Linked DNA regions of Caenorhabditis elegans. The protein of the gene in region 1 interacts with the protein of each later gene in a pairwise test. Each region holds a gene or a part of one and is shown in the gene's direction. Other genes may lie near its edges. The genes, in order: mdf-1 and npp-5.

Region 1 (4,968 bases):
ACAGCCTTGGTTCCTTCTGAAACAGCATGCTTTGCAAGTTCTCCAGGAAGAATGAGACGGACAGCGGTTTGGATTTCGCGAGAAGAGATGGTGGATCTCTTGTTGTAGTGGGCCAGACGAGATGCTTCCGAAGCAATTCTCTCGAAGACATCGTTGACAAACGAATTCATGATCGACATAGCCTTGGATGACACACCGGTGTCTGGGTGAACCTGCAAATTATTTAATAATATTTTTGATTTGACAGAATAACTACTTAATATTATTTTGATTTCTATGATCCCCCAAGACTAATTTAAATGATTTTTAAATACCGGTATTATATCGTTGCAGTTCGTACTAAGTGGTACGTAGTTTTAACATACAACATGCTAATGGCTAAAACATTTTTTTATCATAACTTATTCGATTTGAATATATTCTCACCTGCTTTAAAACACGGTAGATGTAGACCGAGTAGGATTCCTTACGAGCATGCTTTCTTTTCTTTCCGTCTTTTGGCTTGCTGACGGTCTTAGCAGCCTTTTTGGCTCCTTTAGCTGATGGTTTTGGTGGGGCCATGATCGAATGAGACACGAAACGAAAATGCGAAACGAATCGATGTGTTTGGCGAGTGTTGTCTATGAGCGCTGCGAAGCGCTTTTATACTCGCCAGCGGTGGCCCCACCTCTCGCTGCCGCGGAACTAGACTCCGCCCACACCGAGAGAAATAGTTAAATAGAGAGGCGGGCGCGTGTGCGCATGCGTATTTTGCATCGATTTTCGTCGGCTTAGACCACTTTTCTGTTTCTCTTTCACCTCCAATTTGCTCATCTAGACTTCTAGTTCATTGTTATTCAACCTAATTTCAGCAAAGATGTCCGGACGTGGAAAGGGAGGAAAAGCTAAGACCGGTGGAAAGGCCAAGTCCCGTTCGTCGAGAGCTGGACTTCAATTCCCAGTTGGTCGTCTTCATCGTATTCTCCGTAAAGGAAACTACGCACAACGTGTTGGAGCAGGAGCACCGGTATGTAGAATTTTAGAGCTGCTGTGTTTTGTGCATTTCCTAGATTAAAAAATCGTTCAAACCTGAACTTGCTAGCATTTTCCAAATTATATCACTTTTGCTCTTGTACTTTTTAAAAACATAATGTTCCAGGTGTACCTCGCAGCAGTTCTGGAGTACCTCGCCGCCGAAGTTCTCGAGTTGGCTGGAAACGCTGCCCGTGACAACAAGAAAACCCGTATTGCACCAAGACATCTCCAACTCGCTGTCCGTAATGACGAGGAATTGAACAAACTGTTGGCTGGAGTCACCATCGCCCAAGGAGGAGTTCTTCCAAACATCCAAGCCGTGCTTCTCCCAAAGAAGACTGCAGGAGACAAAGAATAAGCAGTGTCACAGATGAATATTGCAACTAAAGATACTCCGCCCCGTTAATTTATATGTCATCTGAATGTATTGTTTACTCGGCTGAATTGTAAATGAAATAAATTCATATACTTTGCAGTTATCAGTAAATTATTTTTTAAAATGAAAATAAGAATTTGTTTTAAATACAATTTTTCCAGGTAAGAAACTTCCCAAAATTCGGATTTTTGAAAAAAAAACTATTCGCAAGATCATATTTTCCTATTTTTGCATGTTCTTGTGTCCGAACATGTTTCCGAATGACCAAATAATAATAAAAAATGAGGCTGAAGAATTGCTGGGAAAAGTGTGCGGCAGCATTGCATAATGCCGCGCCCTTGCAAGTGGGCGGGAAGACGTTATTTTTAAGATTTCTTCGCAGTTTGTTTGGTGACATTCGATAAACTGTTTTTGTGCGAATGGATTTGTTTGACTTCCCTTGATTGCATTAAACATATTATTAATCTCTATCTCAAAATTCGAATCGCTCACTGTAATACATTATGTAACTGATTTTTTTCAGACATGAATTACGATGAAGACATTGTCGATGAAGACGAATATGAAGAGTCGGAAGCTACAATGTTGTTCGCTGAAGAAATCAAAAAACAGTTCAAAAGAGAGTTTCCGTTGAAAGCAGAGACAGAAAAAAAGCTGAAGCAGGCAACATTTCGTCGACATGCGCCGGTGGAGGCCAGAAAAATCAATTTCGATATGACACTCTCACCTGGTAAATTAACTTAATCCATTTATTAAAAATGTTTAAAATATTTTATTTAGTGGCTCCAATCGAATTGGCAAGTGCAAAAAAAGAAAAAGAGTCGGCACAGCGTCAATTGGTAACACTCCGTGAAGATCACGAACGTATGAAACAAATGATGCAAACGAATCAAGCGAAGTTGGCTGAAAAAACCATTGATCTGGAGACGAATCGTGAGAAAATGTTGGAGCTGCAAGAGCAAGTCGAACTTCTGAAGCAAGAACGAGATGACACCATCGCAGAGTGTAATCGAAACGTTGATATTTGGACAGCATTCGGCAAAAAATACTACACTTGGTACTCAATGGCGAATACTCAGCTGGAATCTGTGAAATTGTACATAGACAACGACGGAAAGTTTGAAAACGACGAAGAAGTTACACGATTGAATGCAGTTCCAAGACAGATGTACAGGGCTCTTGAACAATTCGATTATGATGATGAAACAGTAGAAGAACTTGGTTCAGGAAGTCTGCTAGAATATGAAGGTGTTTCATTTGCTACCCGTAGACCACCATCTCCTGAAACGGAAAGAGAAATCGCTCGTGCTGATCAATCGGCTGCTAACTTTACTCTACCTCGTAAGTCCGGAATTTTCAAACTTTTGTTTGCAGGCAAATATATTCGTATTTTCAGAATCCAATTTCACACTTCTCGAGGATTCAAATAACACCATAATGCCAGAAGATCAAACAATGATGACTGATGGCTGCATTGCCAATCGATCACTTATTGATTACGAGAAAGATGAGAAAATTCAGCGATTACTACTGGAAAACAGTGTTCTCAAAGATCGTTTGAATGTCTCGAGTGGGCGTGCTGAAAGGTCGATGATTTTCGAAGAACGTAATCGTACTTTAGAGTTTGAGAAGAAAGCTCTCCATAAGCAGTTGGACAGCACATTTGTGAGTGAATAATTATTGTTAAACTAATTTCACGTTTAATTTATTTTAGAGTGAGATTGAAGCTATTCGGATTGGCCAAGCAGGGAACTTGTTCAATATAGACGAGAAAATTCCTTCGAGTTCAGACAATTCCGCTAAGCAACTGCAGCTCATTGACAGAATCACTCAGCTCATTACGAAGAACAATCAGCTCGAAAAAGATTTTGAAGCAGCTACTTCCAGAATGACGAAAGTTATGCGAGAAAGCACAGACTGTGCTCGTCGCAACGAACGACTTGAGGATGCTTTTTCGAGCGAGAGAGTCAGAAGCCAAGACCTTGAAAATGAGAAAAGCCGGCTCTCTGAACAGTTAGAGTTGAGCAACAATGAATTGGAGAAGGTCAAGAAACAGTTGGAAGAATCTCAATCTCAGCTCGATGAAGTTCTCAGCATGACTTTAACTGTCCCAGCTTCAGAACCGGCATCTTTACCTGCTCCAACCGATGCCGGAAATAGTACACAGATTTTCCATATGGCTTCTAATCCACTCCAAGATGCTCACAATGAATTCCAAGCGTCTGAAAGTAGGAAAAGAAAGTTGACAGATGCTCCAGCTGGTGATCAATGGAGAGAGCAAGAGTTTGCTGAATTGGAGAAGCGTCTTTACGACTGCGAAAGTGAGAAAAAAGTACTCGAAAGTAGTTACAATCTTCATAAGGAACTCTCGTCGAAGTTCCGGCAAGTTTGTATTGCTCTGACCGGTCTCCAAATCAAACTGAAAGATGCAGACGAAGGAATATGCACTGTACAAAGCGAATATGAAGGTGGTTCCGCTCAGCAGTTCGTGTTTAAGTATTTCTATGGAACTCCTCGCATCGATATGCTTGATGTCAGCTGTGAATCAACTACTGAAATGCTTCGAAAGTGGGAGCCACTTATGAAAAAGTTTGTTAATTTTCTGGTTACTTACTATTAGAAGTATAAATACTCCCCGTTGTTGTGAGGCATCTTCTTAAAATATGTTTTTTCAGGTACATTGGCGACCGAAATTCGATTCCGGCTTTCTTAGCAGCAATGACTCTTCAGCTGGAACAGGATCGAGATTTTGACGAGACGATGCATGAGAGAACACATACATTCAGTGTCTTACACGAGGACTAAATCATTGAGCTATCTAGATCTCAATTATTTTTCTTCAAAGGAGAAGCTGTTAAATACACTGTTACCTGAATATTTGATGTTTCATTCCATTTTATTTATTTATTTTTTAATCTAAAACGTGTAGTGATCAAAATTAATCACACAATGAACGTTATATTTTCTTTCCAATTCAATGTTTACTATGGTATATTGTTTCGTACAATCTAAAGTTTATCTGCTCGTATATAGGAGAAATACCATTATGAAAATAGGAAAATTGGTTTTTGAACATCCTGTATTTTTCTAAAACGAGTTTGAATGATACCGCAATTAAATGATATAAGAAAATATATTTTCAGATGACAGCGTCAAAAATTAGTGATGTCTCTTTTGTGACTGATTTTGTATCAAAATATCAGAAAGGAATGGAGATGTCTTACACATTGGATGGAAATTCACGTGTTAGTGAATTCAATCAAAAAATGAGCAGTGTATCCATTCTTCTATTTCATAGAGATTTAGAGCAATTTCTTCTAGTTCGTCAATTTCGACCAGGTTTCCAATTTTATTCTATTGAAATGTGAGCGTTAAGTTGTTTTTTAGCAATCTTCACCGCATCAATTTCAAATTCGCCGGAGAATCACGGTAAAGAATTTGATAAAATTGACTGGAGCAGCTATGATTCTGAAACTGGCTACACCATTGAACTTTGTGCTGGACTAATTGACAAGGAAGGATTATCTCCTAGAGAAATTGCATCAGAAGAAGTTGCTGAAGAATGTGGATATCGTGTG
Region 2 (5,555 bases), on another chromosome or scaffold:
CCAAATTTAAAATAAATTTATTTTTAAAAAAATTGAAATAAAATAATAGAAACACATACATATAAAACATCGATGAAAATTCTACAGCAGCGACAGTTTGAAATTACATTAATTACAGTGTACTATTTAAACGCGCACACCACTTTACTAACTTTCAGAAATTTGTCGTGTCGAGACCAGATACCTTAATTTTGGCTCAAAAGTTCGCGTCTGGAACAATAGTTCTCTGAAAAAATATATGTAAAGCCAAATGGTACAAATTGAGATTTTTCTGTAAAGTTTACTTTCAATGGAAAGCCTAAAACTAATTGATTTTTAATTGGCATACTATTAGAAATTTGTAAAAATTTTCATTAATTTAAATCTGAACGTTTATCAGCGGCTTTAAACATTTTGAAAATATGCATTAATTTTTTAATAAACGCAAAAAGTTGAAAATATCTGCGTATTTTTTGTTGTAATTCAACATGATGTTCGAAATTCAATACATCTTTTTTTTCTTCTTTCTTATGCTCCTCCTCTCCCACACTATCAAGTTTCGGGGGTCTTCTCTCTCGTTTTTTTTGCAGAACTTGTTCCAAACTCACCTTTTACCATTGCATTTTGTGTTGTCTTTTAACTGAAGTCGGCAGAAAAAAATCCGGTGATCGATTTTGGGAATAGGTGGCGACGATTTTGAAAAGCAGGTATTTAGCGATGAAAATACTCGAAATTAATTTTAACAAATATGATTGATAAACTAAAGATATGAAGCTACTAAATATGGCTCGGTGAGCTGGAAATAGTGGGTGAAGGAGTGGAGAGGCAGAAACAAAGAGAGACGAAAAAGAAGAGGTGCACTACGGCTCCCATGCAAAACTAGCATCTTTTCGTTTTTTTTTTTTGGTTTTCTTGTCGGTTGGTGTAATTGATGTGATGGATTACACTTGAGAAGCCCAAGGAAGGAAGTACCAAAAAAGGGCAAACATTTTTTTACAAGGAATCTTTTTTTTGGTCTATAGTCCCCTTATAAGGACTTTTTAGAGGAGGAGGTGTAGGTTTCTTCCCTAGAAACAGAAAGCAGTCCAACATATTGAATATAACTTTTTAAATAATTTATAGAATTCTCCTGAATTTTTAAAAAAATAACTTTTTCAATTGTTCGAACATAACAAAAATGGACAGGCCGCCAAAGTCCTAGGAGATTGATTGCACAAAGCCGCAAGCTTTTCGTACGAAATAGTGCTCCAGAAATGGTTCCATTCTAGTTATTAAATCAAAACTTTGGTCTATTGTCCTCTCCATATGTTTTTCTCTAATTTGAGTATACAATATACCCTGTTTTGTGTGCATTGAGCCTGTGCATAAGACGAACGATACGAACGGCCCCTCTCCTCCTTACATTCTTATACACAGTCTCAATTCACACAAAACATGTGGTTCAAAGAATATATCCTTATGTAAGTAGCAAACGCAAGCGTAGGAGCACGTATTGATCGATTTATAGACAGTCACAATGCACACAAAACAGATGATTTAGAGGATAGCTGCTACTGGAACGCAAAAATACGATGTGCTTTAAAATAAGAGCTCTCATCAACCCATAACGTCGGCTCTCATTTTTGTTTTTTATAGCTGATTGCACCTTATTAAACAATTTGAAGATGAAAGGCACTACTCGGAAAAGTTTCAAATTGCAATTTCTTCCATTTCTGTGTTTCAAAAAAGTTATGAAAACCTGAATAAACCCCTCTTTTTTGAAAGTCCGCGCATTGTGTTCTCAATGGAGCGCACTACCATTATTTTCGTTTAAGCAAAAATTTTCAAATTTCGAAGGGTTTTCGTCGTGTAAAACGATTTTTTTTTCTGTTTCATGTAGTTTTTAAAACTTTATTTTCCTTTAAAAAAATATTTTTAGCACAATGACAGACTTGTTCGCTTCGGGGGACAATTCTTCCAACTCCTTCGACGACTCTAACGATGAAATCGCGCGCAAAAATGAAACCGCTTTCAAATACACTACAATTTGTGAGTTTAACACTCGATGCGAAAGGAAAACTATTTTAAAAATATATAATTTGCAGTTCACACAAATCTCTCAGAAAAACTGTACCACGAATTATGTGCATTGGCTTTCGGAGAGTTCGATATTCCTCAAGGGCAAATCTCGCCACTTATGTGGACCAGACTTCATGAGGTTTGATTCACTTGAAAAAGGCCTCTGATAAATGTAATATTTTTTCAGATCTATTCAGAAGTAGAAATGCAGACTCGAAAACTTCCTGCAGGATCTAATTATTCCGCCAGTTCACAAAAATACGCGAATGAAGCCGTGCAAATCGCCAGTGTTCTTTCAATTTATACCGCGTTGGCTCATGAATATGATGAGACTGTGGAAGTTTCTTTGCTTAGCAAACTAGTTGTAGAAGATGTGGAGTTTAGAAGGATTTATGTAAGATCTTAGACTTTTTATTCAATTAAACACATAATTTCTAATTTTTTAGGCTCTTCTTCTTTGGAGTGAGAAAGCGATCAGCGAACAGCAATATGAAAAAGGTCTTGGAGACAAAGTTCGGAAACTCGAAGGAATCAAATCTTCTAGAATCAATTCAATGATGGCTTTGAAACGACCAACATTTGGAGCAGCCAATGCTCCAAAAGATGCTTCACTGGATCCAGATGCTCCTGGTACCAAAGAAGATCAAGCTCTCGAGCAAATGGCGATGAACGTTTTCTTCCAATTAATTCGAAGTGGAGAAACTTCCAAAGCTGCGAATTTAGCCATTGATCTAGGAATGGGAGCGATCGGAGCTCAACTTCAGCTTCACTCGATGCTCCGGAACCCACTTGATATTCCACTAGAGGCATCTAAACAGAACTTTGGGGAATATAAAAGATCTCGACGCGCAAAGTACTACCAGATGACACAGAAATTGATAGAACAATCGCAGGGGAGCGAAGATGATGCTTACTGGATGCTGATTTCTGCGATTCGTGGGAATATCCAACCAATGCTAAAAGCTGGAAAGTCAGTGATTGAAAAAGTATGGGCATATGCAAATTCTGCAGTTCTCGCAAGAATTCTTGCCGCCGAGGGAGCCATGACACAGGAAACTATTTCGACGTTGTTCAACGTTCCACTAACTTCAAAATCAATCTTAGATGAGCTGAGATCAGAGGCTGATCGTACCAAAGAAGTATACATCCTACTCCGAGTGATCGATGACATGCTCAATGATGACATTGAAGATCTGTACAAGTTCGCAAATGAAACAGTCGGAGAATTTGTTCCAAATGATAAAAATTGTCAAGTGAACATGCTCGCACTCGACATCTTCTTCCACCTCGTCGCAGTTTCTTATGCGAGTGGTTTCGAACCAAATGACGATGGAAATGCTGTAATTATTCTTGGATTCGATGATCTTCGTGCACGCAGTGGAACCTCATCACACAAGAAAATGGCTGCATTTTATTCAAGATTCCTCCCAGAAGATATGAAGCTTCCAGAGATTGTGGAGACTATGAAAGGTAATTTAAAAACTGATGATGATTTTTAAAAAAATTCTCTTTTCAGCTGTCGATTCTGATGAAGAACGTGAAATCCTGGCTGAGTCGCTGAAACAATCTGACATTGATTTCGGACGCTGTGCGTGCACACTTATTGAGCAAATCAGAAAAGATGACAAAACGAAGGTTGTAACTTTGGAAGAGCAGATTGATCACTGGCATTGGCTTTTGATAGGTGGAGAAGAGACTGCACTGGCTGCTCTTGAAGAATGTAATCGACTAGTTCGTAAAGTGATGCTGTCGACACCGATTGACGAGTCTGTAATTAGGCAAATTATTCGAAAAGCGCTTCATTTCGAAGTTCCTAAGCTATTGTCACAAGCTGTTGAAAATGAAGCAACTGTACTTTCACTGATCACTGATGGAACCCTGTTTGAGCAAAAACCTGGATCGCAGCTGGCAATTAATAAAATCGAACACGCGGCTCTGGAATTTTATGGGCTCTGCTCTTTCGTGGTATGATTTCTTATCCAAATCAGCGGAATCTTTAACCACTGGTTAAAATTACAGTAATCTTTAAAGGTGCAAACCGTCTCGTATTGAACAAAAATTTGTCGTGTCGAGACCCCGTACTCAAAATTTCGCTGCTGAATAATATTCAATTTCATATTGGCCATTTTAAAATCCGAATTTTCAGGATGTGAACAACTTCATGATCACTATTGCTCTGAAACTTGGGCTCATGTTCAAGTACACACCGATCACTGATGATGAGCTTTCCATGATCGGAGGAGTCAAACGACTCGACAACACCACAGCTGCTGACTGGGAAGCTTCACTGAGAGTCCGAGCTCGTGCTGAGCAAACTCTGCGGGAAGAGGTGCTCAAAAAGAGAGCCGCCGAGCATAATACGCGAGTTGGAATGGTTCAACAACATTTAGATGTAGGATTTTTAGAATAAATTGTTGTGAAAAAAATTTTAAAAAATTGAAATTTCAGACTGTTCTTCCGATGCTCCGTGGGCTGGTTAACAATATTGGTGTGCGCCCGGAGTACTTTTTGAGCCCACGTGCTAATGGAGATCCAATGCGTGTACACCGGAAAGAAATTCAGGAGATTCGGAATCTCTTCCTCCCGCAATTCTTCATCCTTCTTGCACAAGCCGCCGTGAGACTCGACGATACCACAAATTTCAACGATTTCTTCACAAGCTTCAATAATGACCTCGGGCTCGATCAGGAATGGATGGTTTTCATCAAAGCTTTCTACGCAGAACTCAATCTCAAAGTCGAATAATTTTTATTTCATTGTTTTTTTGTTTGATACCTGTTTTGATTACCATTTTTTATCACTATATTTCTGACTTCTTTCTCATTTTTTTTAAATTTCCGGTCGATCTTTCACAGACACGATTGTATCCGTGCAGTATTTGAAAATAACAAATTTTTCTGATTTCTGTGGGTTTCACGTGAAGATCTTCTTCAAGAAGAGGTCATCAGATTGCGGAAGATCTATATTACCGATCTGACGCAAGACTACCATGTATATTTGGAAAGGAAAAATTTTCTGTGCAGAGGTTGATGGTTTAAATTTTGATTTAGATATTTTCTTCATTTAATTTGAAAATTTCCATGCCTGAAAATATCCTCAGTGAGGATTCTCACCTACCGTATACTTAAAGGCGCACACCTGTCTCAACCGGAGCGTTGCGAGACCCGCGGCATCAAACTACACACTGTGTTTTGATGATCTTTCGATCGTTCTCGAAAAAAGAAAGAGCAGAGTTCATTAAAACAAATGGCGGCAAAATGTCTATAAAGGCGAGTCGTTCTCTTCATTATCTTTTGATTTTCGATGTGTTCTCCTTATTGTTTTGTTCGTTGACCCCTTATCTGCATTCTCACCGCTACGCAACGTATATTTAACGTCAGCTTTTTCGCAGAAAATTTTTCTATATTCTCATGCAAATTTACTGTTCTCAATGCTGGACGTGTCGCTTGTGCTTTGATCTCAAATCTAACATTTTCCCTTCAAATATTTTATATCTGCAACGGTGGGGCAGAAATTTA

What was found.
Region 2: the proteins of mdf-1 (region 1) and npp-5 interact in a two-hybrid assay, tested with the Caenorhabditis elegans proteins (one study listed by BioGRID).

Annotation. Positions count from the first base shown.
Region 1 is NC_003283.11:9,541,172-9,546,139, reverse strand, and holds mdf-1 (uncharacterized protein), read left to right. Parts: upstream 1-1,913; 5' UTR 1,914-1,915; coding exon 1,916-2,120; intron 2,121-2,170; coding exon 2,171-2,731; intron 2,732-2,786; coding exon 2,787-3,055; intron 3,056-3,104; coding exon 3,105-3,979; intron 3,980-4,065; coding exon 4,066-4,195; 3' UTR 4,196-4,358; downstream 4,359-4,968. Other genes in the region: his-41 (putative histone H2B 3), read right to left, coding at 1-212, 427-561; his-35 (Histone H2A), read left to right, coding at 857-1,006, 1,139-1,372; C50F4.16 (Uridine diphosphate glucose pyrophosphatase NUDT14), read left to right, coding at 4,534-4,729, 4,778-4,968.
Region 2 is NC_003280.10:11,596,152-11,601,706, reverse strand, and holds npp-5 (Nuclear pore complex protein 5), read left to right. Parts: upstream 1-1,897; 5' UTR 1,898-1,901; coding exon 1,902-2,007; intron 2,008-2,063; coding exon 2,064-2,176; intron 2,177-2,224; coding exon 2,225-2,431; intron 2,432-2,483; coding exon 2,484-3,507; intron 3,508-3,553; coding exon 3,554-4,002; intron 4,003-4,183; coding exon 4,184-4,429; intron 4,430-4,485; coding exon 4,486-4,782; 3' UTR 4,783-4,940; downstream 4,941-5,555. UniProt on the Caenorhabditis elegans protein: Involved in kinetochore assembly and chromosome segregation during embryonic mitosis.